4 linked regions of the Arabidopsis thaliana genome follow. The protein of the gene in region 4 purifies or fractionates together with the protein of the main gene of each other region. This does not show direct contact. Each region holds a gene or a part of one and is shown on either strand. Other genes may lie near its edges. The genes, in order: HAP6, AT1G16700, AT4G32470 and PHB5.

Region 1 (10,680 bases), on a different chromosome or scaffold from region 4:
AAACGCCTCGTAAATTGAATTTGCAGAGGCATTTCCTCCAATTTCAATCATCGAATCGACTTCTTCATCTGACCATTCATCCAATGTCACGGATAAGACCTGGAAAGTTGAAAACTATAAATACACTTGCAAAAGATTCTGTAAGAAGAAGTGGAGCGAGATAACAAATCCACAATATTATTTGTAAGCCATCTTAATGGAATCCAATGGCAAATTTTCACCAAAGATAAACCAAAACTAGAAAGAGAAGCAAAGAGTCACAACCTTTGAGATATGACTGCCAAGGCTTCTGTGGACACCACAACATTTTAAGCATATAAACACTCCAATATTAGCTGACCTGTAATAAGCAACCAAGAGTTTTATGGGTTTACGAAAAACGAAACAAACCAAAAAATGCACAAGTAGGGAAACAAGATCATAACATTCAATCAAACTGCTTAGAGAAGCATAAAATGCTTACTGGAACAAAACATAAAAATGGCAAAACTTACGCCCACTTAGGATCTGGAGCGCCACAATCAGCGCAGACTCGGTTATCAGATTGAGTTAAAAGATCCCTTATTCTCCTTTTACCTGTGAACCAACAAGGTGGATAAATCAGTCACAGCCTATATATCTCTCATACAAAGACTAATCTTTGCTAAGATAAATGGTTTACCTGAGCCAGGCTTTCCGAGTCCGGCTCCAGAATAACTCATTGCTCTTCTAAAGAACTAGCAATCATCAAACAGAGAATCCTTCACAGACCAAAGAAATCACCCATCACGCACAATATGGTTAGAACATGGTATTGTTAAATGAGAGATCAAACTCTGCTTTGCAAATTTAAAAACCAAACTTTTTTGGGGAAACCACGACCGCAGAATAACCATGAACAAATCGTTTTCAATACCCATTTGTAGATCATCAGCATCATCGATTCGTGTTCCCAAAATCGAAATTCAAATTTAGAAGAGAAAAAAAGGCCAAAAATCTGATCTTTGTTAATTCCTGAAACCATTTCAACGACGAAAACATAACCGACAGGAAAAGACTTACAAAGAAATATTCAAACTCGATGAAACATAAAACCGATGAAGAAGAGATCAGAAAGGAACAAGTAATATGTACGGAAATTCCATCAAGGAGATTTATAGATTGGATTGGACGTTCTTACCAAGGTGAGGAGAGAGAGAGAGAGAGATATGTTCTTGGGACACAAATTCAAGATGAACAAATAATTGTCTGAAAAGACAACTACGTGCTTTTTCTTCTAAAATTTAATTTTCCAATCAACTGTAAAGTTTTGTGAAGTTGTAACGATGCAAGAAAAAAAAAAAAAAAAAAAAGTTGTAACGTTGCCATTGCCATGTTAAGGGTCAAATACCAAATACATTTCCTTCGTTGACTCGTTTCTACCCAAAGTAATTTCTACATTTTTATCAGCATTTATTTCTATTTTGACTAGAATGAAATTCGGTTTGATTTTATATATAAAATTTCATTTCGATTTTATGGCCAGCCTATTTCAAAATTTTGTTAGACCTTTTAACTTTCCACAAACACTCATAAAGTGTGAATAATTAAGAAACTCATGTGATCTAATCATGAGCTAATCATTATCTTAGTTGATTTGGTTCAACAAAAAAGCTAAGGAAAGAGACTCTTGATTACTTTTTAAGACTAAACTGAGAGAGTATGTAAACTCTGAACTTCTTTTGAATTTGTCTATCACCATAATCTATAAGCAATACTACAAAACTGAAAATACGCATAAACCAAAAAAAGATCCTTCATAGTGAGTTCTTCTTCTTCAAGCAGATTTCAACTTGTTTGATGCTGATGCAAGTTGAGATAGTGTTCTGTGTCCCACGAACAACAGAAACACTCCCAACAAAGAAAGTGCCTTGAGAGTCGTGAATAGATCCAACTGTAGAATGCAAACAAACAAAACAAAGAAATTGTGATTTGATGCAATGATTCAACTGTAGAATGCAAACAAACAAAACAAAGAAATTGTGATTTGATGCAATGATTCAACTGTAGATCAAACAAACAATAATCGGTTATGAAAACTTGCCTTCAACCAGAATAGCACATATAGAAGCAAAACAGCTCCAATTCCGCAGTGGAAAAGTAAAGCGGATATTGCAGATCCAGTCGACGATGGGAAGCTCTTTATGTTCACTCCCAACCGCGTAAGCTGAAACATAAAAAATATATATGAGTAGTGAAAGAAATGTGATGATGTTTTTCGGATACTATTTACAAGCAAAGGGAGACTGACCCCAATCAGGAAACCGATGAATGGGAGAACGATAACACCCAAGAAAACTAGTGAGAGCTGCTTTGCTGGAAGCTTTTCAGGAATCCTGAATATGTGTGATATTTCAGCTTTTGGCCCATATCTTGAGTAAGGCTCAGTAGACTGTAGAGGAGGACGAGTCGCCTTCTCTGGACGCTCTGGTAGGTCTAGTTCAATGTGACCAATATTACTCAGTAAAGAGTTCTCCTGGGAAAAGAGAAAGGAAAATAACACTGTTCAAATCTCAGAAGACATAAATCATCAACTGCATTGGACCTGAAAGTAAAGTACTTACCATAGAAGCATCTCCAATGGTTAGCTGTATCTCATATTTACCAGAGAGGTAGTAGAGCTTCTCAACCAATCCAAGAAAATCCTGAAGGTAAGAAAATAACATTAACCATTAATATTGTATTTAGGACGTCATTAATTTCACCAAACTTGATCATTAAACTTTTTTTGCAAAAGCAATTTTAAATGAAGTTGAAGGAACTTAACTAGAACTAATTCAGACTTCTTTCCAGAAGTTTTCACGAGAAAGATATGCTCGACCTGTGACTCATGTTTCAGCTTGAAAAATGCCTGCATGGAAGTAAGCAAGTCAAGAAAGTGAATAGAACAGAATATAACCATTGATGAAGCGAAAAATCAAGAATGAACAAACCTGGTGTGGCTTAAACGCATTGCCAAGTGGAGTAGTTAACTGGAATGACAGGCGTAGCTTTTGAAGGTGGTTTGCTGATAATGATACCGCTCCATCTTTAGTTAAATCTAGCCTACAAATGTTACAGAGAGAACCAATAAACAAAAAGAAGACACTAAGCACAACAACAAAAAGTTTGAAATATATATTGTAAGCAATAATGGTACAAGTTTCCTAAGAAAAATGGTTAAGCAATTAGCAATCAATCAAAATAAGCAAAAAAGGAAGTTGTTCATCAACAATACAGGTGACATACTTTTTCTGAGATTCAACGCTTCCAATGTCACTGTCAAGTACAGCAATTTCTGCATTTTCAATGCTAATAGCTCCTGTGGCAGCTATAGGCACTTTTGTTTGAGCTTCAGTTATGTATACTTTCTCATGTGCTGATTCATCCAGCACAATCTGCAGAAAACGAAGCTTATCATGTTGTCATCATACATTTATATGAAGTCTTGGGTGTAGTAAAACCAAAGAAGTGCAATACCTTAAATACAAAAGTATATTTTCCAATGTCAAAGTTCTTGGGAAAGGAGTCCAGGAAGTACGTTGCACTGTCAGCGTCAAACTTAAGCTCCTGTACCCCAAAAATGTAATGGAAAAATGTAAACCGGCCTAATGCAGAGAATAAGGAACATTTCTATTGCAAGCTCAAACAGTAAGAGATACATTATTTACCTGGTTATTAATTACAGATGAATCCACTGACTTAGAACTTAGAGCTTGTGTAAGCTTCACACTAAGAGCTGGTGCCTTCGAACCCAGTACAGTGCTAACTTTAACCTAGTTCCAGATAAAGAGAAAAAAAATCTAAAATAAGAAAAAATGTAATGGATGAAGGGTCAACTAAAATGAGTCATTATCAAATAGATAAGAGATCTCTACAAAAAAGATGCAATGCTATGAGCCTGAGCAATCTCTAAACCAAATACCAGCTAGAATCCAACATCCAACCGTTATAGCCAGAAAGTCCAAAGTTAAGACTTTCACTACTAGAAGTCAAATCTTGATGCAAGCTTATGAATGGGTACCTTCAGAGGCTCTTTCTTTGTCAATGAAATGACAGTGGATGGAAGAGACAAGATGAGTGGAACAGAAAACCTGAAATGATAGAGAATGACCATAGAGCAAATTATTGTTCCCATAGAATGATAAAGTTTCAGCTAGACCATAATAAATGAGCAAGTGGTTGAAATTTCACAAGTGTTCAAAGTTTTAAACTTCTACTCTTTCCCTACAGATATCATTTCTTCGGTAATCATTTTGTTCAAAATTCTAACAATGTAAAGAGAAACAGTTTTTCTCTTTCATAAGCAACTTTACTTTAACACAAAAGAATGGAAGTAACAGTAAGTCCTTGTAACTCTTATGTCTTTCACACCACTCAATTCAAGGTTACTGAAATGATTCTAAGATGTGTACTGAAATAAACTAATAAGAAAATGCACAAAGAAAATGCACAAAGGGGCATGAAAGTAGTATTACTTGTTGTCTTCCAAACAAGCTAGTGCATCTATTTGGTTGAAGAAGTCCTTGGCATCACCAGGAATTCCAACACCCAGAAAGAATTTGGCCAGACCAACTATCTTATCACCTGGAAGCTGCATGAGATAATGGGAATGCGAAGGTCAACTATCAACACATTTGTCAGAATAGGATACATGAAAACATGGGTATTACATACGTTCAATCCTGTGGATTCTGAAGCTGCAAATGACGTGAGCCCTCTAATAACTGATGCAGTTGTTGAGATCGGGCCTTGACTTGCATCAACAGACTTCTCATCAAAATAAAATGTCCCATCATCTAAAAGACCAAAAATAATAATTCAAAGCCCACATATGCAAAACCCAAGCTGGCAAAAACTATGAAGTGAGTGAAGAGAATATAACATGCAATACATAGGATAGCAAGTAATTTACTGCATACCATATTTTTGGATACTGTCAGAAAGCTTCAGGATACCCGTCTTCACCGACTGGATCTAACAGAGGACAAACATGAATGACGATCATTACATAACCAAGATTAATAAACTACCAGATAAAATGAAAAAGAAACCACCAGAATAACCAAATGAGAAGTCAGGTGGACATGCATAATTATCAAAACACGAATCTTTCTTTGTGATTATCAAATCACAATTCCCTGTAGCTAAGATTTGGAATTTATAATTATCAAAACAAAACTCTTTATTTTAGTTACTTAGAGATTCCAGAAGCAAAAGTAGATCATCACTAAACCAACATATCGTAGTGATATCTCATCAAAATATATTCTCAGGAAATCAGAAGTATAGTGGATTAAACATCTCACTTACCAAAGATGGATCAAACTCTGAAGGTGCTAATGAAATCACTCCAGCAAGCGTTTCATAGGCTAAGCCTGAGAAAAAAAATCGCATGTTGAGAAGAATGAGTGAAATAACAAAGAGCAAAAGAAGTGAACAAGCTGAAGCAAGAAAGGAAGGGATACATAATCTAAAAGGCTCATCATTAACGTTAGGTAAGGGTTAATCCAATATGTACTACTAACCAGCAGCAAAAGTGCTTGATTCGGGATTGTTGGAGCTGTAGCGCCATCTTCCATCACTCTGGCTAAGAGACTGATACAAATGCACTATATCAGCCAAATAATACCCGGAAAACAATCTAAGTAGTATTAATATAGTAACTGAGTTTTGGTAACATATCGAAAATATATATATACTTCTACCAGAGTCTATAATTGATAGTCCAAAAAGACAGTGTATGAATGTCACATCTGATAGTTCAACAACAACAAAATTGAAGGTCAGCTAAACAAGTTCAAACCTTGATGGAACGGAAAATGGCTTCGGCATCTCCAAGACTTATATGAGTTCCAGGAAATTGCTCCTGCATTCATGGAACAGTGAGGTCAAACTTGAAGCCAGGAAAAAGAAAAGTCAGGAAGCCAAAGCTATGGAGTTGAATAAAATAAAATAATCACGATCACAGGTACCTTCTGCCAAAACATTTTCATACTTCAACATAATGCACGAAAAACTAAGAAAACTCTCCTAGAAATACTCTATGGAAAAAGGGTGTAGTCAATCTCACTCAAGATGTCCACCAAAAGTTTTAACTCGTATTTACCTTAGCCAGCACCAAGCCTCTGACAGAATAATAGAAATCAAGCAATAGCTTCGCATCTTTAACACCAGCTTGAAGTTGAGAAACAATGTCCTTCAAAAGAGGAAAAGATAAGGTTATTTTAGCCGCTTAATAGTTAAAATTATGATACTGAGAGGAGACAATTGTTTACCTTAGGACCAGCTTCACCAATTTTACATTTTAGAATCCCATTAACGTTTAACGCATAAAATGCATCCTTAAGAGTAGAAGAAGACGACTGAAGAACTTTAACCACATTCTCACAAGTCTTTGAGCTAAGATCAGACTTTTTATCAATTCCAAGAATCTCCAAAGTCTTTAATGCTTCATATGCCTCCTCCAAGCTGATAGTAATAAAAATCAGATTAGTCCGTACAAAAACCATTCATGAACATTAACGAGCAACCAATATGTAATCGGTGAAATGTGGTTAAAACCCCTACATCAAAGCAATGCCGACTTAAGATAGAGAAACCAACCTTTTGTATGATCCATCGACTGGTACGAAGACATCCAGAGCCGCAGATCGGTGAGAGTCTGAGATCGGCTGGAAAACAGAAGCAGCACCGCAAATTGCTACGGCGAGTATCAAAACCAGAAACCGTACGTTACCTCCGGCCATCATCACTGCATAAGAAAACTCAAAAAAACAGATAAACTCATCCAAATCAATACAATTACACATCTACGACGGATGGATTCCAAAATCAACCGAAGATTTAAGCTTCTTACAGATCGGAAGTAGATCCGTATAGTCGAAGAAGCGGATCAGAGGTCGACGAGTCTCAGTAGTCAACGGAGACTGAGGTTTGAGGTAAGCCTAGGATCGATCTATAGCTTTTGAACCAGACGACGAACCAGAGAGAAGGCTAAAAAATGAGTGTGAGTTTGATGACACTACCTGATATTACCGATTTACCCTCGATTTGAACTTAAATTACACTTCATGAAACGACGGCGTACCTTGAAACCCTAAACCTTGCAGATCAACTTCAATCACCATTTTCATTTCAAACAGAGAGAGCTCTGAGGAAATCAGAATCTGAAAATGATCAGATTCGCGAGACCAAAACCTATAATTGACTCAGTGAGTTACAATCTTCTCCAGAAATGTTACGCTAGTGGAACCCCCAAAGGAAAATCGAAGCTGAAGACAGGCCAATCATTGAAACGCAACAAACTCACAATCAAAAAAGGCGGTGGAAACGGCGGTGGCAGAGGTGGTGATGAGGTGGATAAGGGAAAAGGAAGAATCTCAGATCAATGCATAAACGCTCCTTGTCCTGTTCGTTACCTGAGACCTAAGGAAAGAGAGCGAGAAGCGAGACGAGAGAAGCTAGGGCTAATCAGTAAAGCGAGGCAAAAAGAGATTGATTTTCAGAAGAAAGGTGGATCCTTTACGATGGGAGTTACTACTGCGCCGATGAGGATTGGGACTCCAGGATTGGATTACATTTCGTTAGGGATTTTTACGGAAGATGAGTTACCAAAGTATAAGGTTACAGTGGAGGATGGGATTAGACTTGCGAAAGAGTATAGTAGAGTGCTTATGAGAGAGCATAGAGCGAGACGTGTAGCGGAGATTAGTTTGATGAAGATGAGGAACGCTGCGGTTGAGGCATTGCCGGAGAATTTGAAGAAGGCGGCTTTAGTGCGTGATTTGACTCCGTTTCCGGTGAGTCGAGGTACGGCTACGCTTACTCCACCTATTGAAGGGTATTTGGAGAGGATTATGAATGCTGCGGCTAGGAAGAGCTCTGGTAAAGAGAAGTTGAGATGATCTTGTTAAGGTTAGAGGAATTTGTCTTTGCGTCATTGGTTTTCTCTTGTTTTATTAGTTGTGTTGATTGGATTTCGATCAATGGATATAACTTTGAGACATTTGTCTTTATTTTTGTGATCTACTTGAAATAAAATGGTCACTGGCAGTTGCTACTATATGATAGAATATTAGTTGAAGCTTGAAAGTTTAATCTTTTTCTACTTTATATTGTTTCATATCGGCCTTCTGAGAGGTGAAGTTGTCTAGGATGTAAATGGAATCTTGTTAAACCTCTTTTGTATCTCTTTCCTTGATCGTGTTTGCCTGTTTGCATACTTCTTTCAAATCTTCATTTTTCAGTATTATGTGTATGAACACTGTACACTCATACATTTAGGATTTGTCTCTTCATATATTCTAACCTTTAGGAAGGCCACTGGGTCATGATCAGCTCAAACTTGGTATAACTTTTTATCCTTACCAAAACCATATTCCTAGATAAGAACTGCAGACTATCTTGGAATCTACAGTTCTGCACCAAGATTACAACTGTTTAATCAATATGGGAGTTGAGGTTTGTCCTCTGTGAGCTTTGTGTTGGAAGTTCAGCAGAATGTTATGTAGGAAAGGATGTCCTGCATCTGCTTGTGCTTCTTCATTCAAATGCATAGTTTCTGGGTATTTTCTTCAAGCTCTCCATATCATTTTCTGCATCTTGTTACCCGGTCCAGTAGAGTGCAATGGCAAGAGTCCTAAAGCTACAAAGACCACGATTCTCCAAGGATCATCATAGTTTGAAAGCTGAGGTAGCTAGTCTAGAGAGAATCGTAGTCATTAGACTTCATCTAGGGACCTCTTGGCTTCTATGTTTCCTTAGTTCACTAGCTATTTTTGTAGACCTATTGAGTCCAAATCTCTGGTAAAATAATCAAGTTTGTGTATCTGAGTTCTTAAACCACAAATTTTTATCAATTCTAGTATTCTTTAGGATCTTTTGAATACCACTAAAACAAAGTTCCTCTATGCGTAAAGATCAGATTGTATATGTTGTTTGATCAATAAAACAAGACTTTTAAGCATAAAGCAGGAATGGGACTTTCCGATTTTGTTTAATTAGAGCCTCTATATGTTCTCTTTCTTCCCTTCCATGTCAAAAATATAGCTGTAGTACCTCTACATAACTGAAGTTCTAAAATAAGTTGCAATCTAAATTGAGATCCCTTCATGAAAGCCTTAAGGGATGTATTGCAACACCGTTCTGCGCAGATTTTAAGCAACCCCATCTTCCGAGCCGCGGTTCCTGCCATATACCCAAAGTTACAGTTAAGATTGGCATTCACAGAGACGAATATATATGTCTGGTTAAAGGAAAATGTGTACCTGTCCAACACCAGCGATCAGAAACCGACCAGATTTTGCAAAAGCTAAAGAGTTCACAAACCCAGGCTGCAAAAAGGTCATAAGCATTGGATGTCAGTAACAGATGCAACACACAAATAGCAATAAGAGCCGACCTAGGAAAACAAACTTACAAGTGGAAGCTCGTATAAAGGTTGTATAGCACTAGATCCACTTTCAACACCCCATAAACGCACACAACCATTACCAGCTCCCGATGCAGCAAGCTCGCTACCTCTACAGACAGCAACTGAACTGACCCAAGAACATGCTGGTGTACAGTTATGGTTAACAGAATCATGATCAGCTATCACGTGGTGAGCATTGTTAACGATAAACACTGGTTTCTTTTTCAAAATGGACCAAAGTGCAATACTTCCATTATCTGATCCGGACAAAAACTCATCACTATTAACAAAACAGCAGCACTCAAAATTTGATTCGGAAGCTCGATAGATCAACCGAGTAGACTCGGGAACCTGATAGGAAACAAAAATCGTGCTTAGATATAGACAAACAAATCAAACAGACCACAATACCTACCTTATATAACTGCATTGTTCTATCGCGTCCAACACTGAGAACACGCTCCCTCCCTAGAGCATCAATGGATAGAAGTTCAGACTGGTGTCCAAAACATGATTCTATATATGTTCTATGTTCTGCATTCCATATACTTAATGTTCCATCATATGAACCAGAAAAGAGTTCTGCAGTTCCTTCTCTAAAGCATAGACTAGAAACAATGCCACAGTGACCTGTAAAAGCCTGCAATAGATACATATCTAATAAAAGAGGCTGAGAGCAAGACACAATGAACAGAATCCTTAACTTGATTATTTTTAAGCTTGTTTACCTGGACATGCTCTCGTGTTCGGATATCCCACAAATGAACATGGCAATCAACTCCTCCAGTCGCTAAATACCGGCCATCAGAGCTAACAGCTAATGCTAGAGATTGTTTGTTATGTCTTGTATACCAAGATTCCTGGAACTTTAACCCGTGAGACTTCAAAACTTCATCGCTTGGCCATTTGTACTCATCACTTTTACCAGAAGATACATCCCAATGCAGAATAGTACCGTCTTTCGAAACTGAGAACCCTCTTGAATCATCATCTGATAGAGCTACTCCTGTAACAGAATGTTGGTGTTTGACTATAACACGAAACTTATCGCTACTCTGTAGATCTTGAACCCTGACACGGTAAAGTTTAATCAGAGTATCAGTACAAACAATCTCCAAGCCATTATATAAAAACTAATGTAAACTAATTCCTAAAATTCCATAAAACCTAAATCACAAGCATTTTTGAAGTCTATGAATACGTAGTTAAACAAGTCCTGAGGAGTGGTTTCAAATATAAAAACCTAGCTCATGGACTCAAATATGAAA
Region 2 (7,757 bases), on a different chromosome or scaffold from region 4:
CCTAGTAAGAAACTGATTTCGGAAATCCCAACACCTCAGTATCTTGTTGTTGATACATATGAAAGAGACTACTCTAGGACTTTTAATCAGCCTGCTTCATATTTACGCGCTAGAGGAGGTAAACCTTTAATACCTGAAATGCTCTTCAACATTTGTTATCTTTTCAACATGGGAAATGAAAATCTGTTTTGCAGCTCGGGCTGAGCTTGGAGAATTTGTGGAGTATGATCTTGACAATGACGATGATGACTGGCTTTATGAGTATAATAAGGAGACAATGATTCTCTCACCTGAAATGTAAAGTTTCCTACCTCTTATTCAGATTTTGTTAATTGTTTGTTTATAACATGCTTTCCATATTTTTAACCATTGAGATAGTTTATATTATCCACATTTCTATGAGCTTTGTTGTGTGGTAGATGGATCTATTAGCTCTAGAATCTAAATTTTTCTTCTGTCTCTCCTCTGGTGCCTTCAATTTATTTTGGATTTTGCCAATAGTGCAAAAACTATGTGATCAAGTGGAAACTGAAAGAAGAATTGGTTCTATACTTATATCCGATATTCCCCTAACATTGAGTTGAGATAGTGCTCAACTTTTCTCTTGTTTCAAAACAAAAACCTGCTACCCGTAATCATGCTTAATTACTTGATACAGGCTTGAGATCGTTATATTTAAACTAGAGGTCTTGGATCATAAGGCGCGGGAAAGAGCTGGAGTTATTACTCCTACCCTTGGTTTGCCAGTTCCAGTGCTTTTGCAGCCTGATGCTGCTGGTGAGGTATACACTTATTTTCTTTTGTTTATCTAATTTTGATTTATATTTGGTTATGGAACTCAAAAGGAGGAATAAAATGATGATGGTTGATTGGCTAGTTCTCATCATAGTGAACCATCTTTTAACGGGGACAGTTTTCCAAAGGATGTGATTATACTTTTCCTCACTGCCTAAAACTGTAGCAGGAGCCAGGAGCATAGATCTAGTAATAGTGATTATATTGCCTCCTCTAGAGGAATGTGTTCTCCTGGGGTTATTACTCAGAGGCAGAGCAGGACATTTACATTGTTCTTATTGTGCTATTTCCATTTTTTTTACAGGCGCTGAAATATTTGTCCATCAAATATGGAGTTTTCCACGCTATATACAGTTATTGGAAAAATAAGGTTTGATATAGTTGTCGTATAGTTTGATGATAATTGATTTTTTTTTTTTTAATGAAAAGTTGTTAATGGTTCTTTGGGCATAGGCTTAAAACATTAAGTAACTTCGACTTTTGTATTCTTTTAGCGTGAAATATGGCAGAAGCCTATCTTGCGGCGTTTACAGGTATATCATTTGGACTGGTCTCAATCTTACATGTGGAAGAAATGAATTTATTCTGAAATGTACTGAAAATTAGCTACTCTTGTGTTTTTTGTTTGGAACAGCCTCCACCACCGGTCAATGATACCAATCCGTACAATGTGTTTAGGCCACGGGAGAAAGCTCATAGACTACACGCAAGAAGAGTAGGCTGTCTTGTTGTCTGTGGTTTATCAATTTCCTTATCTTACATGTGTGAGTATGGAAAATGCACCATAACTTACTAACAATAGTTGACCTCACTTCAGATGCAGCAGAGAGAAAACAATGCGCAGTCATTTGAGAAGCTGCGACAGGTAAGGGAAGACCTGAATCTGTGTTTAACTTCTTAAAATAATTCCTGGATTCTCAAACGTTCTTCTCTTCTGTTCTGGGATATGTTATTATTAGGTCAGGCGCAATCTTGACCAAGCAAAGACCATTCTAGAAGCTCTTATTAAGGTAATCTAAATGACATCTATATTTTGTGACTTGAATGTAATTTTATTGATATCTTAAGAGATACCTGCAGACTCCATAGGTATTAACTTGATTAAAAACATGTTATCTTTATAGAGAGAAGAGAAAAAGAGGGATTTCATGGCGAGTGAGGTTAGCCTTCAGAGAATCCAACTGAAATATAAGGTAGTCCTCTACAACCTGCATCGAGTGTTCTTTTGTTACCAGAAAGAGTTGTGCATTTCGATCTCCTCTGATTTTTTTTGTGGGGTTTTGATATGTTTGCAGAATGAAACCGAACTTTTGGAAGATAGTTTGGCTCTGGCTGGGTTTCCACTCTCTACAGCTTACAGATTTGGCTCAAGCGAAGATGAATTCATGGACTCCGATGACCCGACCACCACCCAAACATGTACAAGGCCTTCCTTTACCCCTCATCGTCGTTTCACCGACTCAAACCTCGCTCGAGCTCAAGCCGGGAGCATAAAGCAAGAGGCGAGAAGACTTGGATGGCTCCACAAACTGGTAATTCTTCAGAACCTCTGTATTTGAAACATTTGAGACTATTAGGTTACTACATTCTGGTGACAAGATAAAAAAGAGAGAATTACGTTCACTGTTTATGTTGTTTCTGTGTAGAATCCTAATGAGCCAGTTATGCTGTTCACGAAAGCATTGGTCCCCGATAAACTGGCTGCTGCGGGAATCATCCCTCCATCAGATGCAAGAAGTGGAAGAGCTCGGTTTCAAGGAAGAATGGGTAGAGGCGGTCGGATTGTATTTGATAGATGGAATCCTCTAAACCAAGCCCACATTAACTGTGGCAACACTCTCTACATAGCACCATAACATCTCAACTAGTTTTCTTCTTCTTCATTGTAAAGAGTTATCCCCGTTAGTTCCTCCCCAGTGGTGGTGAAGATTGTCACCAAAACACTTTGTATCTCCTCTAAATTTTGTGTAGTCTTTGGTTTTCCCGGTTTATTGATCAATCTCGGCTACTTTGTGAACTTTAGGTCCGGTTAGTGACCATTGATCAGGTATTAACTTTTTTCAGCAATGGTCTAGTTTGGTCCACGTCTTGAGAACCTGGATCCTGAAATGTGTGAAACTTGGAAGGAATTGACTGTCATACCAAATATAACCGGTTTGATTGCCCGGTTATGAGCTGAGTAAGTAGTTAACCAGAAGGGTCAATTTGTAAATTAAGAGACATCTGATCGAATTTTGTTCCGACGACCGTGAATCACCAGCAAAGGATTCGTGTCAATGTTCTTGTGAGATCGAACTTTCTCTGGGTTCGTGCAGAAGCTTTGCTTTTTTGAGTATCGCGTTTAAGGTTCGGATGGAATTTTAGGCTTTTCGTTGGTCATTCTCTTGTTCAATGCTTCTTTTGCTTGATTAAGCTTTTCAGCTAATCGGATTTTCTTCTCTCACATCAGGCACATCGAAGAAGAGAGACCCTAATTTGATATTTTGAGTTCTATCGATGGCTTCGCTACTAGCTCGCAGGTCGTTCAGTGCTCTCCGAGCTCGACATCTCGTAAGAATCTCGTAGGCTCTTCCATTTTATATCGCTTATATTCCTAGAAATTTGGAATTGCTGCTAAGTTTTTTGAAATCACTAGTTGGTATTGTCTGCCCCGGCCGGCTCTAGGCATGTGCAAGTGGTGCTGCTATACATGTTTTTGTCTTTTTTTTTCCTGGGTATTGTTCCTCTATGCATCTCTTTGTATTGCGTTGGTACATCAATCGTGAAGCTTCATTTTTCCTTTAGATCATATACTCTTCCTTGAAGAGAGAATGTATCGCCTAAATGTTGTTATCTCAATCTCTGCAAATATAAATACTTTAACTGAGAGCGTCGTGGTAGTTAACTTTTACTTTCAATAGCTCTTTTGGTGGCTATGCTATGGAATTCTTCTCGCATTTAACATCTACCTTGTCTTTGTTGATAGGCTTTTTCAGGGCAAGGTTTACAGGGATCTCATCTCTGTGGGCTACAGTCCCGTGCTATATCTTATGGAAGCAACAAAGGTATAAATTTTGTTGCTTCCATTTGGGTTCTCTTGGTTAATTTAGGCTATGACTTTTCAGGAATATAGGTTACTAATCCTTTGCCTCTGGTAATATGTAGATGATGAAGAAGCTGAGCAGCTTGCTAAAGAGATCTCCAAGGACTGGAGTACTGGTAAGCTATTTGATCCAGACACTTTTCAACCTTTCTATTCTCTTAGCATTCCTTCCTGATTACTTCCTTCTGCGAGTCTTAGCGATTCCTGATGTTTCTTACTTTTACAGTCTTTGAACGGAGCATGAACACCCTATTTCTCACTGAAATGGTCAGGGGTTTGTCACTGACCCTCAAGTACTTCTTTGATCCAAAAGTTACAGTGAGTGGCTGTCTCCCTTGACTCTAGTAATTAGGCTGAAAGAAAAATATTCTGATTCTCAAGTTTTATCTTTTGTGCAGATCAATTATCCTTTTGAGAAGGGTCCATTGAGCCCTCGTTTCCGTGGTGAACACGCTCTTCGAAGGTATCCAACTGGGGAAGAACGCTGCATTGCCTGCAAACTCTGCGAAGCTGTGAGTTTTTGAAGTCTATGCTACTCGAGAATTCATACCACAGCACAATATTGACATAAAGTGTGATTTTTCATGGATACTGGTCTTTTGCTCATCAGGTATGTCCAGCTCAAGCAATCACAATAGAGGCAGAGGAGCGGGAAGATGGAAGCCGCAGAACCACTAGGTCACCCTCTAAGTTCCCGTTTATTAACCATATATATATTATTTAATACTGTCTTGTCTCTATGGTTCTTCTATATATTTCGTAGTGTAGTGATTGTTCGGAGCTGTACAGGTATGATATCGACATGACGAAATGCATCTATTGTGGTTTCTGCCAAGAAGCTTGCCCTGTTGATGCAATCGTGGAAGGACCAAACTTTGAGTTTGCAACCGAGACACATGAGGTCTGTATAAACAATTCAGAAAGACATAAGATTGCCCATGATCTTAAAGTTAGATGTGTATTATTCGATAAATGACATTCTGATTCTTTTTGGTGTGCAGGAACTTCTGTATGACAAAGAGAAGCTTCTTGAGAATGGAGATAGGTGGGAGACAGAGATTGCAGAGAATCTGAGGTCGGAGAGCCTCTACCGCTGAATATTGATCCGAAAATGCCTTTTGCCTAATTCTTAAGGAAACGTTTTCGTTTGCTTCTGTTACAAATAAAGATGCTTCAGCCTTTGCACTGTTATTGCTATCTGTATTTCTTGAGTTCATACCGATGGCAAAATCAAATTTGGCTTTGTTTCCGGTTTGAGCTGGACCGTGCGGTAAATGGATTATGATATGATTCAATGGTGTTGTTACTCTCAGTGTCGGTCGGTCAAGTGTCTAACAAAAAATTGCTAATATCTGAAGAGAACATTAATGATGTAAAATACAGAGAAATACAAGGGTAAAATGGTAGTTTAATAGACTGGCATGAACATGCATAATTGCATATCTAGTAAAAACCTCTGATTGGCAGAAACTCCAGCTCAGGAACTTACTCTATTTGGAATTTCGTCTTAAATTCGCTTTCTCATCTTCTTTTACTTCTCGGTTTCAAGATCTCTTTCAGAGATTTCTCATTTTACTTATCCTCCTGGCTTGCGTGAGTTTAGACGTGCGACATTGTTTCTTCATCGTAATCATAGGTTACGTTTTCTTGATCTCGTAAGGAAGAATCTTCCTCACTAGGCTCTGATCTTTGCGGTGGAAGATTGCTTCTTTCTTTGTGTATCAAATTTTAAAGTTGGATTGAAGTCCTAGGTTTTATCATCTGAGGTTTAGATGTATCTTCTTTCTTTGCTTATGCTTGGTTTTACTACTGATTATGATTATGCTGGTTAATTGGTGTTGCTTTAGGGATTTCACGTTACACTTGCTCCCATGGACAATGATGTTTTCCAGATTCGCCGGTCCATGCGAGACGCTATGTAAGCCTTCAATTTTTCACATTCACTCGTTCCTCTTGCACTCTTTTCCTTTTCTCTGTTAGTTGCTGCTGTACTACGGATTGAGTTAATGTGTCTGGGAAAGTGGGAATGATCTAACTTATTACTGCTTTTTGGCTCTGTGATCATGTATTTCTGCTTTGTTTCTTAAGAAACAATATCATCTATTAGTGTTTCTACTACTGAAATGTTACTTATTTGGATTCCAGTCTTGTCACATTGGTGTTCATAGTTGTTTTCCTCTCTGCGTGTATATCTCCGAACCACACTAGAGGGTTTCTTGATGGGTTGTTACCTCATTTGAGGAAACGTTTCAAATTAACTGATCATCCAATCTTTCCAGCTTCGTCCAGTTAGAGAAGCGAAACCCACTTCCGAATGATGATGCATCAAAGGGGAAGCATTTAGATGCTGCTAAACGCTTAGAGGAAGGACTTTTTAAAATGGCTATGACAAAGGTACATCAATTATATTTACTTGATTAGTTATAAGCATTTAGGATTTGATTTACTGAGAATTTCTAAGTTCTAACTAAACAAGACTGGTTGATGCCTTCTGACATGTTGTCACTGAATCCAGCTTGTTTGCTATATGTCCTCCCTTATAAATATTTTCGTTTCTGACACTTTTAACTTCAAAACTCACAGGAGGAATACTTGAACCCGTCAACTCTTGAATCTCGCTTGACAAGCTTAATAAAAGGCAGGCAATTGAATAAGTACAAGCACCAACATGCTGATTCTTCTACGCTTGGAACAACCATAACACCTACTCCAGGAGTCTCTGCTGAACCCACAATGGTACATTACATACATCGAATTATTCACGAGCTTTAATTAAGAGGCGTATAATTCGAAATGTAATATTATAAACATTCTGAACTTTGTGATGTTCCAAATTTTTTTGGTTTGGAGCAGGATAATGAGAACAGAGATCAGTGCGAGACAGAGATTGCTGAGAATCTGAAGTCAGTGAGCCTTGAGCCATGAAGATTATCAGAAAGTTCTTTTTACGACTTGTTTGGAAACGTTTTCATTGCTTATGTTACAAGGAAAAGATGATAACATATACAATACTAACGCTTCTGCCTTCTCCATTGCTACTGTATTGCTAATTGTAAGATCTAAAGTAGGAATGGTAAAACCGGTTATGATTTGTTTCCGGTTAGACTTGGAACATGTATGAATTTGAATGGTTTATTATTAGTTACTCTTGGTAATCGGTACAGAAAAAAAAGTAGTTGCGAAAGTAAACAGAGCAAAAACTACAAGGGTGTGAAGATTTAAATTACTGGAACATTTGATCGGACGGATAGGAGCGCATGTATCTCCGACACTTCTCCTTGGCTGTTGGATTGTCGACCTTGGTTCCCCCAATTAACTTTGACAGAGGTTCCTTGATGATTCGTATTCAGACATAAGTAACATAAGGTAAGTGTTATTTAATGTGTCTTTTGTTACTTACAAAATCAAAACCAAAAATCCCTAAATAGCCAAAAAAAATAAATCAAAATCCCCAAATCGAAGAATTCAGACTTCTCTGATTTCGAAATAATTTGTCGATATTTCAATTTCCTCGTCGTCTAGGTTTTGGAGGAATCTCGTTCTGGGATTTGTCTACGTACTTGTGTTTGATCCTATTTTTTATCCTGGCTTGTGTGAGTTCACACGTGCGACATCGGCTGTTCAGCGACTTTATTGCTCCGTTCTACTTCGTTTTCAAGATTCGATCATCGTAATCTTTAGTAACGTTTTTGGGGAAGATTTTTTTTGCTGGGTTTTGCTCTTTGCGGCTGAAGTTTGTTTCTTTGTGAGTCAATTTCAAGGTTATTGCTCCTCCTGTTGTCTGTTTCGTAATTGTTTACAATTTTGTTGGTTTTGCTATTGGGTTTTAGTTGCTTTGATCATAGTCTATGATTCTAGTTCGACTGAATTGCAATCATGT
Region 3 (7,503 bases), on a different chromosome or scaffold from region 4:
CATACATGCATGGGAAAGTGGACCACTAAACGACATTTGACTATATATCGTCTTTCTTGATTTGCAAAATTACTAATGTTTAGTTTAGTAGAATTCAAATCTGTAGCCAAACTATTTAATGTAACTTATGAAATCACAACCTTGACTTGTGGTGCCAACGGGCAACGGCAATGTCATATACATCATAGTTGTTTTAGATTATTTTTATATATGTTTAAAACATCAACTATTTATTATACTACAATTATTTAACTACCTATCAAGTTTGAGAGCCAATTGTTATAAATTACAATCTCACATCTGTTATTCAGAACTAATTAATTTACTTGTATGGGAAATTTATTTATATGGTAACAAAAAGAAAGAAAATTGTAAATAGTTTACTCAGGAAAGAGTAGAGAGAATGTTGATAGAAAAAGAGTGATGATAAGAAATTGTTTGCATGGGAGCGAAATAACGGAGAAGACATAGAAGAAAAGGACAAGACAGCCCCAAAAAGATCAAGACTTGCGTCTTGGGGAATGCAGATTAACACTGACTGCTGCCTTTGTGTATGAATGGAGGAGACACGCGATCATCTTTTTCTCCACTGCTCCTTTGCGAGAACGATATGGACTCTTGCCTTGCAACGTCTGCACTTGTCCCCACAAGTCTTTGGTGAATGGCAGGATCTAATACTTTGGTCTAGCTAGGGTAAAGAATCGTGCTTCTCCGCAGACCCTTCGATTGCTGCTTGTCCATGCCCTGGTTTACAGTGTTTGGCGACAAAGGAACAACCTCATCCATAACAACATCGTAGTGATGCCGCTTACAATCTTCAAGGAAGTAGACCGGCTTATCAAAAACTCCATTACTGTTAGGCGGAAGCGAAAGAAGTTCAAGAATCTTATGTCACTTTGGCTCAGCTAAAGAATCCTAATCTTTATTTCTTTTCTCTGAGATTGTGTAGAATCCAAATGATTCCTTGTTTTTTTTATTCTTTTTTGCCAAGGAACACTTACTCTAGGTCTTATTGTAACACCTAAACCTTCATTATAACTTTCTTAGCAAAAACAAAAGACAGCCCCCCAAAAAAAAAAGTAAATATCCAAAACATACACCAATCTTAAAACCAATAATATGAAACTAAGACTGACCCTTTTTATATGTCACATCTGTCTCTGTCAGTAATGAGTATCCACCTTGTGTACAACCTTAATTTTTACTTCCATGGACCATTCAAGATCGCATGTTTTTGTCTACAACACATCTTCTTACTTTCGTAGTTTATCTATTGATTCTCCATTTGGTTGCCACAATGTTCATAGTTTCATATGATGGTTTGTAAAGCCCTCAAAACTAGCCTAGAAGTCGAACCAAAAACATCATTTTAGGGAATATACTTGAATTTGTGTCGAGTCTTAACTCATCTAATCTTCTTGTTACCATCTCATCTCTAAATTCAAATCCATATTTCTAACATTTGTGGTTGGCTAAACGAAAGTGAGCAAAAGAAAAGGATGAGAGAGAGAGGGGACAGAGAGGAAGATGGGTAACTAAAAGAATAGATCTGGCCTGAATCTATTAAAGGCTTGAGTTTCAGTCTACACACTCACATGCAAATGCTCTTTTCTGGATATGAAATATTTATATACATAACATGGGTCTCTCTATCTTATGAATGAATGATTTTACACCCTGTCCGATAAGTTATAATAAGTTAGTTTTTGAAATCCAAGTTTCATTTCCCCGATATGCCCAAAGGATCTCTTTCCATCTTCTTACACTTGCCGGTTTATCTCCTCCACAAGTAGATTTTTTGTGTATTCGTCGATTATGTTTGAACTCAACGTAAGAATTTTCGGTTGCCAAGGCCGATCATATAATAATAGTACGGATGATTCCTTCCTATCTTTTTAACTCAGTGAACTAAGAGACAAAAAGAAAACACACACCCATAGTCCCATACCATAGACTTGGACAGTTCAACGACTGGCTTTATCGGTGCCTAATAAACTCATAATTCTCTCCCATTAATTTCTCACATGAAACTGTCAATGCAAAGGATACATCAACATGGCTCGACCAAATTCCCAAGAATATGGAATCATGGCACTTCTACATTTCAATGCATAAAACTTAAACGATTCTGAGAGACCAATTATAAGAATAAAAGAGCAAACCAGACCTCGAAAATGATAAATCATCGAGACAGACTTGAGTTGCGTCGTCGATTTTATTCAAGCCAGCAAAAGCGATAAAAATGTAACTAGCAACATATCCACTTAGGAAAACTATCACAGATTTATGCTTTTTCAAATAGTAAATAGCTCTGTTCAGAAAGTGAGCACCAAAATATCAATGTTGCAGATTTATGCAGAGAAGCAGCGTTGACCACAAGAAAAGGGGAAAGGAATGCTTATGGGAGTGTGCGCTGGTATAGTGGTAGAGCTCCCAAGGCCTCTCGTTCCTTGCTTTCCCTCTCAACCTGCAAATCACAACATAAAGACAGGGATGATGACAACGATGATGGGCTATCCTTACAGAAAAGTTACACTCAGAACTTTTCAAACATTGCAAACATTTTCTTTATGATGCAATACTTCATGAAATAGGGAAATTGAAGATCTGAAAAAAACATATTGCTTCAAATAACGAAGGAAAAGACATGCATCTCATCAAAGTTTTCATCATTGTCAATGCAGGGAAGCAGATAGGCCCAAAAGAAAGAGGAAACTTTACTTCAAGAAGGAATAGTACGCTTTTATGACACTGAATTGCAGTTTGATTGTTCCTACCCTAGACGCAGATAATGATTTCTATGTTAGTTCATCAAAAAGGAGACTTACAAGAGCAAGCATGTCCTGAAGATAGCCACGGAATGGGGTCTGCACCGCCTGTATATGAAATAACCACATCAAATAAGAAAGTTACAATATCCACAACACTACCTAACAGTTGCAATTTCTGATAGCTTAATCAATTTTGGAAAACTAAAAGAGCCTTATACTTTTAAAGTTGTGAACTTTTGATAGCTTAATTAAGCCAGCAATAATAACAGTTACATTCTTATCTAATAACAACATCAAATAAGAAAGTAACAAAAATCGAAAAGTCTAAACCATAGAGTAATACAATAGTATACATGCAAACACCACTTTACTTTATTGAAAGGGAAAAAAAAAGATGTAACAAGGATTCAACCTTTCATCAATCCAAAATTTCCAATAATCTCAAGCAACAGCAGAACAAACACAGTAACGCAAGAGACAAGCATAGACTATGCATAAACTAGTTTATATACATCTAAGCTCCACAATCACAAAATCCCCAAAGTAAAGTAATATCTTCTGATGAACTAGTTTCGATTTCAATTTGATATCTTAATTTCTTCATTTTTCTAGCATTTAATCAATATTCGAGCTCAAATGCCTGGGTTACCTATCCATATTCTAGATTGATTCTAACAACATCAATTTCATCCAAAGAAATAGAGAATGAAGAATTATACCTGAAGATCCTTGGGGAGGTACTCGTGCTTCATGGAGAGGTCCATGGCACGCTTGAGACGCTGGTTACGAGCATCAACGACCTCCCTGGGCAATCTGTTCATAGCCTCTTTGATGTCCATACTGTAATACTGATCGTACAGATCATCGTACCTCAGACCTAATTAATCATTCAAACCAAACAAAACAAAGCAGATTCAGATTCACTCATGAACATTGACAACAAACTCGGATTTCAGAAATTAGGGTTATGGATCGAGAGAGATCTGACCGTATCTGCGAAGGCGAGTAGATATGGCTTTCATATGCATACGAGCGAGGAAGTTCTTCTTTGGATCGATGAATGCTTTCAGAAGCGACGCCATTTTTCTCTGTCTCTCTCAATTTCAGATTTTCTCTCTTTGTGCCAATGAAAGAGACCAAGCTGCTGTGTCTACAACAACTCCTGACCTGAGAGAGGAAATAATCACATAAGCTCTGCTTCACGTATTTATTTGGGCCTTAAGTGGCCCATCTAAGCTTCACGTATTTTTGACATATATAGGTCACGTACTCACGTAGTAATATTTGGGCCTTAAGTCGCTCAGCTGTAGCGTCATTTAAGGCCCAGTGATAACTTGTATTTAGATTATAAACTAACTTGTCTTAATAATTCACAAGAAGCACCAGTGGTCTAGTGGTAGAATAGTACCCTGCCACGGTACAGACCCGGGTTCGATTCCCGGCTGGTGCAAATTTTTAGTGACCCTTTTGTTTCGTGTTTCACAAATACATGCATTTAACTCTTATTCGATCCTACTTAAAAAAAAAAAATGGGGGAAATTTAAGTTGTAAAATCCACTAAACTCATGTGAATGTTATGTATAGGCAAAGCTAGTTGTATGAATGGTAACTAGATTAATCACAAAATTGATATACCAGTTGTGAAAAAAGAGGGTTTAATTTAATAGCTGGAATGAGAAATGATAATCTTGTTATATAGATGAGGTAAGTTAAACAATTATAATTGTATCTTCATTCTTTACTCTAGACGAATTGGATTCCGGCTAACACCACTACTTGAGAGTTGAAAGGCATGTTTTTGTCTGCTTATGATTAAATTAACTTAAAAAGTGATTAAGTATCGTCTCAAGTTGCAAGTGTAATTTAAGGTTAAAATGTTGTGACTTTAACAAAAATACTCTCAAATCTTGTGTTCCCACTTTCTTAGCAAAGCATTTTAAACAGTTTCTTGTCAATATCTAAACTAACTTTAATTAAGGTTAGGTTAAAGAGATAATCATGCATGTAGTAGGTACTTGATTTAGTTTGATATATTTTTAGTTTGGTGGGATTTTTGATCACGACCCATATCCTAATTGCTATTTTTTAGCCACGAAGTCGTCGTCATCATCCTTATCGTAAAATATGAAGTAGGCCTAAAGTTCAGTCCCATTTAGCTTCATGAGTTCATAATTTTTGTTTTCCAAATAATTGTGTTCCGATAATAACGCACAACTATGAATTGTAAAAGTTTGTTTTGTTTGTTTCAAAAGACAACCATATATAACTCGTCTGACTGAGTGGTTAATGCATGTGGGCATGTATAGTGACTATATGAGCTTGTCTCAATATTTGATGTTTTGAACAGTATAAACCGGTTTTAGCTTAGCACATAATACTCTCTCTGCTAAGCTCACGTTAATTTAATTAGATATATATTTATCAAATCACATAAAATTATATTGTATGGCAGAATTATTCAAGCAAATGCGTATATAAGTTATAAAATTTGGAGTGATGAACTGATGATTAACTTTACTGGACTGAAATGTTTTAAAAATTGTGTAGACTTGGTCTTTCTTTTACACAAAATGTTATAATTCGCTGATAAACAGCTTTCATAGCACATGGTTTTGGCCTCAATGGCAGTTAATTATTCAGTAACTAATTAATATCACGTTTGCCTTCTTTTTAATTGGCCCTTTTTGGCCGTCTCAATTTTTTTTTTAAAATGGAAATTATAGTTTAGTTTAAATTTTGTACTGTCACAAATTGTTGTCATATTGATAGTAGTTATCTTTATTTAAGATTTGATTTTTACACTTTTACACAACATTCCAATATTTCATAAGTGTTTGATAGTGAGGTCCATATATATTACACTGAAAAGTTGTATTTAATTTATATGATGAATGCAAATTGCCTTAATTTATTAGATAAACAACACTTTGTAGATCATTAAGAAATGGAACTTTAGTAGCACTTTAATTGTTTTTGCTTGGACATTAGATTGATTGTGAACTTTGATTTGATTATTGTTGCTTTATAAAAACACAATAAAGTGTCTACAGATAGATATTTAGGATACAATGTTTTAGATTCTTATTTTTAGGATGGGAATATCCCATCAGTCTAAATGCTGGGAGACAAACGAATTTATGAAAAAAAAGTATTCCATATTGATTCCTTCTTATCCCACTCTTCTTCCTGAATAAAGCTCTTAAATTCAAGAACTAAATGTTTAAAAACTACATAAATAATGTGGAATTCTCTGCTATTCCTAGGCGAAATGTGGTGTTTGTTTATAATTTTCCTTTGCTATCCCCAAAGCTTCTAAAGACCCTATCATTTCAATTTTCTTGTCAAAATCACAATTGATCAATACAAGAAATTGTAGTATCTTAATTTGGTCAAGTGTTCTAACATATCTGTAATCAGAACGATCCTTTTCAAAAGTTTTGATAAATTAACGTTTATGTATTATTCAATTTCAACTGCTTGTCTTTTATCAAAAAAAAAAAACATATACATGTTAAAAATAGTAAGATTATAACTAATCTTTCCATTAACATTTCTTTCTTTTTGACTCTTCGGATGCTCTTCTAGCCAGGCTCTAGCCCTCTCTAATAATATAACTGATGACTGTCACAATATAATTGATCATACATTTGAATTAGAGAAATATACCGATTAGCAGCATGATATTTAACCAAATCTGTTGGAGTAAGTTGAATATGACTCAGCAGTTAGCCTAAAAGTTTTTAAGATATATACAACAATAATTAAAGGCGAAAAGGGTGATATAAAATATAGCTGAACAGAGTTTAACATATCTTATACTGGGAAAATCATGTGTATAATTATATATACAAACGTATGGAAACTTGTCGAATGAGTCCGTCTTCTAAAAAAAACAAATCTCCTGCAATTAAAGATGGGTTTTCACTATTGTAACTGTCGTAGAGAAAGAAAAATAATTGATGGTATTGTTGTCTACAACAAGTTTTTTTTTTTTTTTTGTTGTTGTTGTTGTCTACAACAACAAACTCTATTTAATTCAGTTTTAAACTTTTTTTTCAAATAATTTTTGTTTTCTTCTGTCCGTTAATTGATAAACTTTAATTTATGTAAATAAATTAGTTGAAACTTTAATTTTTTTTGTAGTATATATTTTCCATTGCCATCAAAATTCTGTAGTGTATATTAGCGCGAAAGATGAGCATTATATATCAGATTGGTTAGTTAACGTGTCCAATATGCACTCCACTAAGGCACTAATTTAGTTTGTAATTGATGTATCAAGAACATTTTTTAAAAAAAAGATCAAGAACATTATAATAGCATATCCTTGCCACAAACATATATGGGTACATGGACAGCTTTGAACAGCACTGACCTAATTTAATTACACACAAATTTATTTGACTCTCATACTAATTACCAAACGTCGATTTCTGAAATAAATCATTTAAATTTCAAATCTTAATTTTATTTCGTTTTTGTTAACCAAATAGTATAACAAGTACAGTATCAAAAGTTTCAAGTTTCCTTAGAATGACCTAATCACTATTCGATGTACCAACGTATCTACTAAACATAATATGCATGCAATGGCATTATTGCATTTTTTGCACATTTTACAATTTCTTTCTGTTAGTGACTAACAAAATGGTGTAACTGTTTAGTATTTACCTCATCTCAATGATGATCTGGTCCACATGCTGCCACCATGTGACCCTTACTCCAGAATATT
Region 4 (6,089 bases):
AACTTGGAAACCACATTTTTGTTCTCTCAAGAGTCTGTTTTTTTTTTCTGGCGTAAGTTTGAATTTCATGAAAAGTTGTTATCGCTAGTCGATTTAGTGTAATTGATATCCTGATTAAGGCTTTTCTCTGCATGCCAGCCAATCAGGCTAGAATTGTGAAGTATAAAAGTAAGCAAATTGACAATGGCGACTCCGACGGAGCTAGGTTTCTCTTCACCTGGTGGTGGTGGTGACGACTCTGACGATAACCCTCCACAGAAGCGTACTTCAAAACGTACTGCTTCCGAAACAGCAACAGAAGAAGAAACGAAGAAGAAGAAAAAGAAGAAGACGAAGCACAACACAAAAATGGCTTCTCCTCCGAGCAACCGGATCTGGAACGAAGAAGACGAGCTCTCTATCTTAAAGGTATTTCCTACTTTGTCTCATCTATCTACTGCATTTACTTGATTGCGTTGCGATTCCTGAAACGGCATATCTATAATTCTCAGGGATTGGTGGATTTTCGAGCTAAAACAGGACTCGAATCCAAAATTGATTGGGATGCGTTTTATTGTTACGTCAAAGGTTCCATTCATGTGAAAGTTTCCAAGTGCCAGCTTATGAGTAAGACCAGGAAGTTGAAGAAGAAGTTCCTTGATCAAATGGAGAAAATCGATCAAGGAAATGATCCACATTTTACTAGGTCTAGTGAAACTGAAGCTTTTGGATATTCCATGATGATTTGGCGTAAAATTGATGCTGAATACACTAATGGTGTTATGGATAAAGCACATCAAAGCGAGAGTGGAGTAAGTGACTAATAAGAGTTTGTCATTTGTTTTTGATACACAATCGTCAAATCTGTTACAATAAAACTTGCTTAATGAATTGTGGTTTAAGAATGATTTGGATATTGTTCAATTATATGGTTTGTTGAATCACAGGAGGAGGTGTTTGAGGAGGATGAGGAAGTGGCCTTAATTGACAAAGGGGCTGCGAAAAGTGGCAAGTCACCTCATGAAGCTGTTGTTGTTGTTGACAAAATAACTACGAAGAAGAACGGGACTGCTGGAAAAGAGAGTGATGATGATGATGATGATGTGTTGTGTGCTGTGCGGGATGCGTTTGAGACCACCATGATGTCGCAAGGATTAAGTGATTATCAAAAGAAGTTGCAGCTTGAGAAGCTGATGAACCTTGGAACTGGTAAAAGAAGAGAGTTGAGCAATGAATGGAAAGCACTATGTGTTGAGGAACTAAAATTGAATATCAACAAGCTTCGATTTTCCGCCAAGCTTGCAGAGGCAGCAAATGATGGTAAATAAAATGAAGAAACGCCATTTCAGCATTTGGTGTTTGTCGTTTCGGAATTGGCTTGAAAAATATAGTTTACTTCTTACTTCTTACTACTTATTAGCCATAGACCATTTACCTATAAATGTGGTTTATGTCTTTAGCTTTACTACAACTTCTGGTGATTGATCTACTTGGGAAAGTATTTGTACCATTTCACTTTGATTTTTACCATCACACCTCAGTGTCCTTCTTCATCATAAAAAGAGATGATATTATAAAGTTGTTTTGGTCAATATAATATATGATTAAATAGATATTTTGATACATGTGTCTATCAGTCTATCGTTTAAGCTAAAACTCAACGAGACGACAGACGATAAAAAGGGATTAAGTTTCTTCTGTGTAGATTATTCTTCTTCTTCTTCTTCTTCCATTGTCTCTTGGGTTGAGATTCCGATCTCAATGTCGATCAATATCGGAGAAATCTCAATTCCAGACCTTCCTATCTTCTTCTCCATGTTCTTAACCATCTACCTAATCGCTTACTTCATCGTCTTCCGCAATTGGAAACCACAAATCCGTCCCGAAGCTTCAAGCTGCCTGATCTCAATCTTCCATGGATCTCCAGCGGTTTTCCTCGCCACACGCGCAGTTTTCTCCTCCTCCGAACGCTCCTTCGCCTCCGCAAACACCGCCGCACAAAACACCGTCCTCGATTTCAGCGTCGCTTACTTCCTCACCGATCTCTTCCACTACATCGTCTTCAACCCTAACGACGTACTCTTCATCGGCCATCACGTAGCCACTCTATTCGTCTTCCTAACCTGCAGATTCCTCGTCTTCCACGGGGCTTGCGCCATCTTAGGCCTCCTGATTCTAGCTGAAGTAACAAGCGCGTGTCAGAACGCGTGGACGCTCGCCGGAGCAAGGAAGAATGATCCGGAATCACGATTAGCTGTGAAAGTGTACGATCTCTTGTCTCCTCCGTTTTACGCCTTCTACAGTATCGTTAGGGGTGTGTTGGGACCTTTGTTTTTCGGGAAAATGGTAGCGTTTTACGCTCGAGGTGGTGCTCATGGTGTGATACCTAATTGGTTGTGGATTTCTTGGGCAATTGTTGTTGGAATTGCTATTACTGTTAGTATACTTTGGATTTGGAATCTCTGGATAGAATTGTTTAGTGAAAGGAAAGCTAACAAAATCAGAGTAGACAAGAAAATTAGATAGTTTCTTCTTTCTTCTCTAGATCATTGTTTGATCTTCCTTTTCATGTACTATATATAATATATATACCATTATTATTCTCACCTTTTAGAATTCCTCTAAATGATGTATGTTTTGGAATAATAGATTTGCTTTTGGGTAAGCAGTATGTGCAAAATGCACTTTTAATTCAACTCTGTATTGTTCAGAAGTTCTTCTCTTAAGAGTTTCTTCCATACACATATGTCTTGTCTCTCTGCTACACTTGGTTGCTCACATCTTGATTCTTGATATTGATGAGAAACGTTTTCTTTATGAAGTGTGCCATTCTTGGTGAGTTATATTTGGCTTTATAACTCTCTTTGTTTACGGCCAACACCAAGTCCCCTGAAACCAGCAACTGGTAAGCCATATATTCTTTTACTTGGAAGAATCAAAAGTTAGCTGGGGAAGTGTAAGAAATTACGAAACACAGAGATTCATATCTTCGATCATTGGATTGTGAACTTTTCATGTGTTGAAGAGGATAGGAAGAGAATTGGGGACTAAACATACCATCCAAGCTGAGACATGGTGTTAGGCAGTCTGTTGTGGAAAGCTGAATGATATACCATTTGGCCAATGAATAGCATAAAATACACAAATTTAACCAATTTACTGAGAAGAGCATGGAATTAGAGAAAAATCTTTTAAGATCAAATAATCCCAAAGATAATAAGGAAAATGAAGGGATTGCTCAAACAAGGGGAATTATAAGGGACACATACAACAAGTCATTGTTGAATCTCATTTCAGTTCTTGGCCTTGATAGAATGGTTCTCCTTGATTCTAGCTCTGGTATCCAGCTTCACAAAACGTTTAAGATCATCAAAACTAAGAGTCTCAACGTTCTTCCTTCTAAGTTCGCTAAGCGCCGGTCGCTTATCAAGCAGATGCCATAAATAATCAGGGTGATCTGAATTAGGCAAGATCTTAGGGTCCAATCCATCTTTCAGAGTATTAGCACTAACAACCATACTCGATTTGATCTCTTTGCTCAAGTTCGATGCTTTTGGTGCATCATTACCTCCATCTCCCCTCCCAACCTTCTTCGCTTTACCAGCAGCTGTAGCAAATGTTCTTTGGCACACAAATCGCATTACATCTTTGGATCTAGAAATGGAATCCCCAAACATTCGAATAAGGTTCATATCAACAACCTTATACCTGCAAATTCACAAAATAAAACTAAATAAATCTACACAATCCTATAATGTTCGTTCTCGGATTTAGATCAAGATTCGAGTTTTGTCGAAGATTTTTGGGTGAGGGTTTAACTCGCAAGATAGAGATAGGTAGCGAGTGCATCGCGGGAACTGGTAAAACTTATTAAAAAGTAACGGACCGGAAAATTAAAAGACCCGTCTAAAAGCCCACCAATAGTAATGCATACAAGTAACACGTGGCAGGTATGGTTGACCGAGTGAGTAACAGAACGTGAGAAAACCGACCCGCTAAATAAGAACCCGCCCAATATAATAAGCTTTCTCCTTAACTTCTGCCTCACGCAAAAAAAAAAACTTCCTATAAAACCTCATCTCCTGCGTTCTCTAACTACTTCTCACCTATCTGACAAGAAAAGAAACCCTAAACAACATAAAAAGAAACCTAAAATCCATACAGGAGACATTCAAAGCCAATCATGCCTTGGTCAAAGTTCACAAAGGTAGCTCTAGGTCTAGGAGCTGCCATAGCGGCTGTGAGATCAACAATGTTCACCGTTGATGGTGGCCAGAGAGCTGTTATGTTCCACCGATTCGAAGGGATTCTAGAAGAACCAGTAGGAGAAGGGACACATCGTAAGATTCCGTGGGTGCAAAAGCCGTATATCTTCGACATTCGGACCAAACCCTACAAAATCAATACCGACTCTGGAACTAAGGATCTTCAGATGGTCAACCTCACACTTCGTGTTATGTTTCGCCCTGATGTAAGTTCCCGCGAATATCCAAAAAATTTCACTAATAAGATTTTGTGATATATATGTAAAATAATATATAACTGTTTTCCGTGGGTTCGTGTTAGGTTTCGCGCCTCTCGTATATATACCAAAACTTAGGTCTCGACTATGGTGAAAAGGTCCTACCAGCGATCGGGACGAGGTGGTTAAAGCGGTGGTGGCTCAGTTCAACGCTGACGAGCTCTTAACAGAACGTCCACAGGTCTCAGCTCTTATACGCGAAACGTTGATCAAGCGAGCTAAGGAGTTCAACATTGTTCTCGATGACGTGTCGATCACTGGTCTCTCATACGGTAAAGAGTTCTCACTTGCGGTGGAGCGGAAGCAGGTGGCACAGCAAGAAGCTGAGCGGTCCAAGTTCGTAGTGGCAAAGGCTGATCAGGAGAGACGAGCGGCTGTGATTAGAGCAGAAGGAGAGAGCGAGGCGGCTCGGGTTATATCGAAAGCGACTGCAGGGGCTGGGATGGGGTTGATCAAGCTCAGAAGGGTCGAGGCGGCTAGAGAGGTTGCGATTACGCTCTCTAATTCTCCCAATGTCGTCTATTTGCCAAGTGGTGGGAATATGTTGTTTGCAATGAACGGTCCAAGCAAAGTTGTTGCTTGAATTAGTTGCAAAAATATGGTGTTCAATGGTTATATTGATTTGTGTGTTTTAAGATTTTCATTTTTTTATATAGTTTCCTAGTATTGGATCACCCTAGTATACTCCAGTTGAGACTGTTCTTGCGAGTCTGAGACTCGCACACATGACACATGACACATCTACTGTTAAGTCGACATTGACATCAAATTAAACAATCACTGTGCCAATCAAACTTATGCATAGACCTAGAGATAATTAAGTAGTCCAAGTTCAAAGGTTGATCTAACCTGGATCAGTGCCCTTGGTAGCTATGGCACATACTTCCTCACTAGGGAAAATGGGAGCTGATTATCCAGCAGCTTTCGATTAGATATCAACAAACAAAATGCAAATTAGGTTATCTTAGAAAGAAAAAAAAACAAGCTATTCATCGGATCACAAGTCACAAGTGTCACCTCGAAAGAAACTTGGGCCCATCTATATTATCTTATGGGCCTTATCGACCGATTCAAATATTGCAAATTAGTGTCGTTAACCTTTTTTGAAAACATACGGCCATTAGTGACAATTTAATTAATATTCTACAAATTCGAGCAGTGTCTTCTACATTTCTTTGTAAAGTCTTTGGTTTTTAATTTTAAGGTCAAGTTCACCATGAGCGACCAAAGTTTTGAATTTTTCAAGGTTTTTATTTTCATTTTATCGTTGTATGGAGAAAGTTTCTTATATCTTCATTTGAACATTGAATAGAATTATTAAACATTATAATTCAAGGTAGGATGGTCAAACAATTATTCTAGATTTCCCTCTTAAATTCCCAAATTTAACATAATTTAAGCTTTTGGTAACCAAAAATCTAACATCTTACAAAATTTAATAAATGTTTTTGGCCCAAAGAAAATTTATAGTGCTGGCAAAAGAAAAATTATAATGAATGTGCTCTTAATTAAATAACCAAGATGAGTTGATTAATTATGGATTTTGTAACAAAATAAATAATTTAAGGTGCTGTCATTTTGCCCACAC

The links.
Region 1: the proteins of PHB5 (region 4) and HAP6 fractionate together in Arabidopsis thaliana (co-fractionation; one large-scale study listed by BioGRID). This does not show direct contact.
Region 2: the proteins of PHB5 (region 4) and AT1G16700 fractionate together in Arabidopsis thaliana (co-fractionation; one large-scale study listed by BioGRID). This does not show direct contact.
Region 3: the proteins of PHB5 (region 4) and AT4G32470 fractionate together in Arabidopsis thaliana (co-fractionation; one large-scale study listed by BioGRID). This does not show direct contact.

The regions. Positions count from the first base shown.
Region 1 is NC_003075.7:11,274,715-11,285,394, reverse strand, and holds HAP6 (ribophorin II (RPN2) family protein), read right to left. Parts: upstream 6,967-10,680; 5' UTR 6,857-6,966; intron 6,765-6,856; exon of another isoform or gene 6,752-6,764; 5' UTR 6,750-6,751; coding exon 6,604-6,749; intron 6,469-6,603; coding exon 6,276-6,468; intron 6,197-6,275; coding exon 6,107-6,196; intron 5,867-6,106; coding exon 5,804-5,866; intron 5,596-5,803; coding exon 5,526-5,595; intron 5,376-5,525; coding exon 5,311-5,375; intron 4,975-5,310; coding exon 4,920-4,974; intron 4,797-4,919; coding exon 4,675-4,796; intron 4,592-4,674; coding exon 4,476-4,591; intron 4,092-4,475; coding exon 4,022-4,091; intron 3,774-4,021; coding exon 3,669-3,773; intron 3,568-3,668; coding exon 3,478-3,567; intron 3,396-3,477; coding exon 3,247-3,395; intron 3,064-3,246; coding exon 2,952-3,063; intron 2,870-2,951; coding exon 2,786-2,869; intron 2,664-2,785; coding exon 2,583-2,663; intron 2,495-2,582; coding exon 2,270-2,494; intron 2,186-2,269; coding exon 2,063-2,185; and 4 more. Other genes in the region: ZAC (Calcium-dependent ARF-type GTPase activating protein family), read right to left, coding at 1-99, 265-340, 495-576, 662-701; AT4G21140 (copper ion-binding protein), read left to right, coding at 7,173-7,904; EMB2271 (Transducin/WD40 repeat-like superfamily protein), read right to left, coding at 9,109-9,186, 9,267-9,332, 9,419-9,763, 9,828-10,052, 10,141-10,483.
Region 2 is NC_003070.9:5,706,721-5,714,477, forward strand, and holds AT1G16700 (Alpha-helical ferredoxin), read left to right. Parts: upstream 1-2,903; 5' UTR 2,904-3,141; intron 3,142-3,244; 5' UTR 3,245-3,291; coding exon 3,292-3,345; intron 3,346-3,760; coding exon 3,761-3,839; intron 3,840-3,939; coding exon 3,940-3,993; intron 3,994-4,103; coding exon 4,104-4,195; intron 4,196-4,275; coding exon 4,276-4,389; intron 4,390-4,487; coding exon 4,488-4,555; intron 4,556-4,666; coding exon 4,667-4,778; intron 4,779-4,878; coding exon 4,879-4,974; 3' UTR 4,975-5,323; downstream 5,324-7,757. Other genes in the region: AT1G16690 (Enhancer of polycomb-like transcription factor protein), read left to right, coding at 1-118, 195-297, 659-782, 1,100-1,165, 1,290-1,328, 1,430-1,510, 1,613-1,660, 1,755-1,805 and 3 more; AT1G16705 (p300/CBP acetyltransferase-related protein-like protein), read left to right, coding at 5,749-5,795, 6,157-6,271, 6,461-6,613, 6,728-6,802. UniProt on the Arabidopsis thaliana protein: Core subunit of the mitochondrial membrane respiratory chain NADH dehydrogenase (Complex I) that is believed to belong to the minimal assembly required for catalysis. Complex I functions in the transfer of electrons from NADH to the respiratory chain.
Region 3 is NC_003075.7:15,667,243-15,674,745, forward strand, and holds AT4G32470 (Cytochrome bd ubiquinol oxidase, 14kDa subunit), read right to left. Parts: upstream 4,008-7,503; 5' UTR 3,854-4,007; coding exon 3,760-3,853; intron 3,649-3,759; coding exon 3,491-3,648; intron 2,877-3,490; coding exon 2,829-2,876; intron 2,779-2,828; coding exon of another isoform or gene 2,778-2,778; intron 2,468-2,777; coding exon 2,399-2,467; 3' UTR 1,977-2,398; downstream 1-1,976. UniProt on the Arabidopsis thaliana protein: Component of the ubiquinol-cytochrome c oxidoreductase, a multisubunit transmembrane complex that is part of the mitochondrial electron transport chain which drives oxidative phosphorylation.
Region 4 is NC_003076.8:4,608,940-4,615,028, forward strand, and holds PHB5 (prohibitin 5), read left to right. Parts: upstream 1-4,162; coding exon 4,163-4,450; intron 4,451-4,622; coding exon 4,623-5,084; downstream 5,085-6,089. Other genes in the region: AT5G14280 (DNA-binding storekeeper-like protein), read left to right, coding at 184-408, 492-791, 927-1,307; AT5G14285 (DNA-binding storekeeper), read left to right, coding at 1,741-2,505; AT5G14290 (Mitochondrial ribosomal protein L37), read right to left, coding at 3,273-3,671.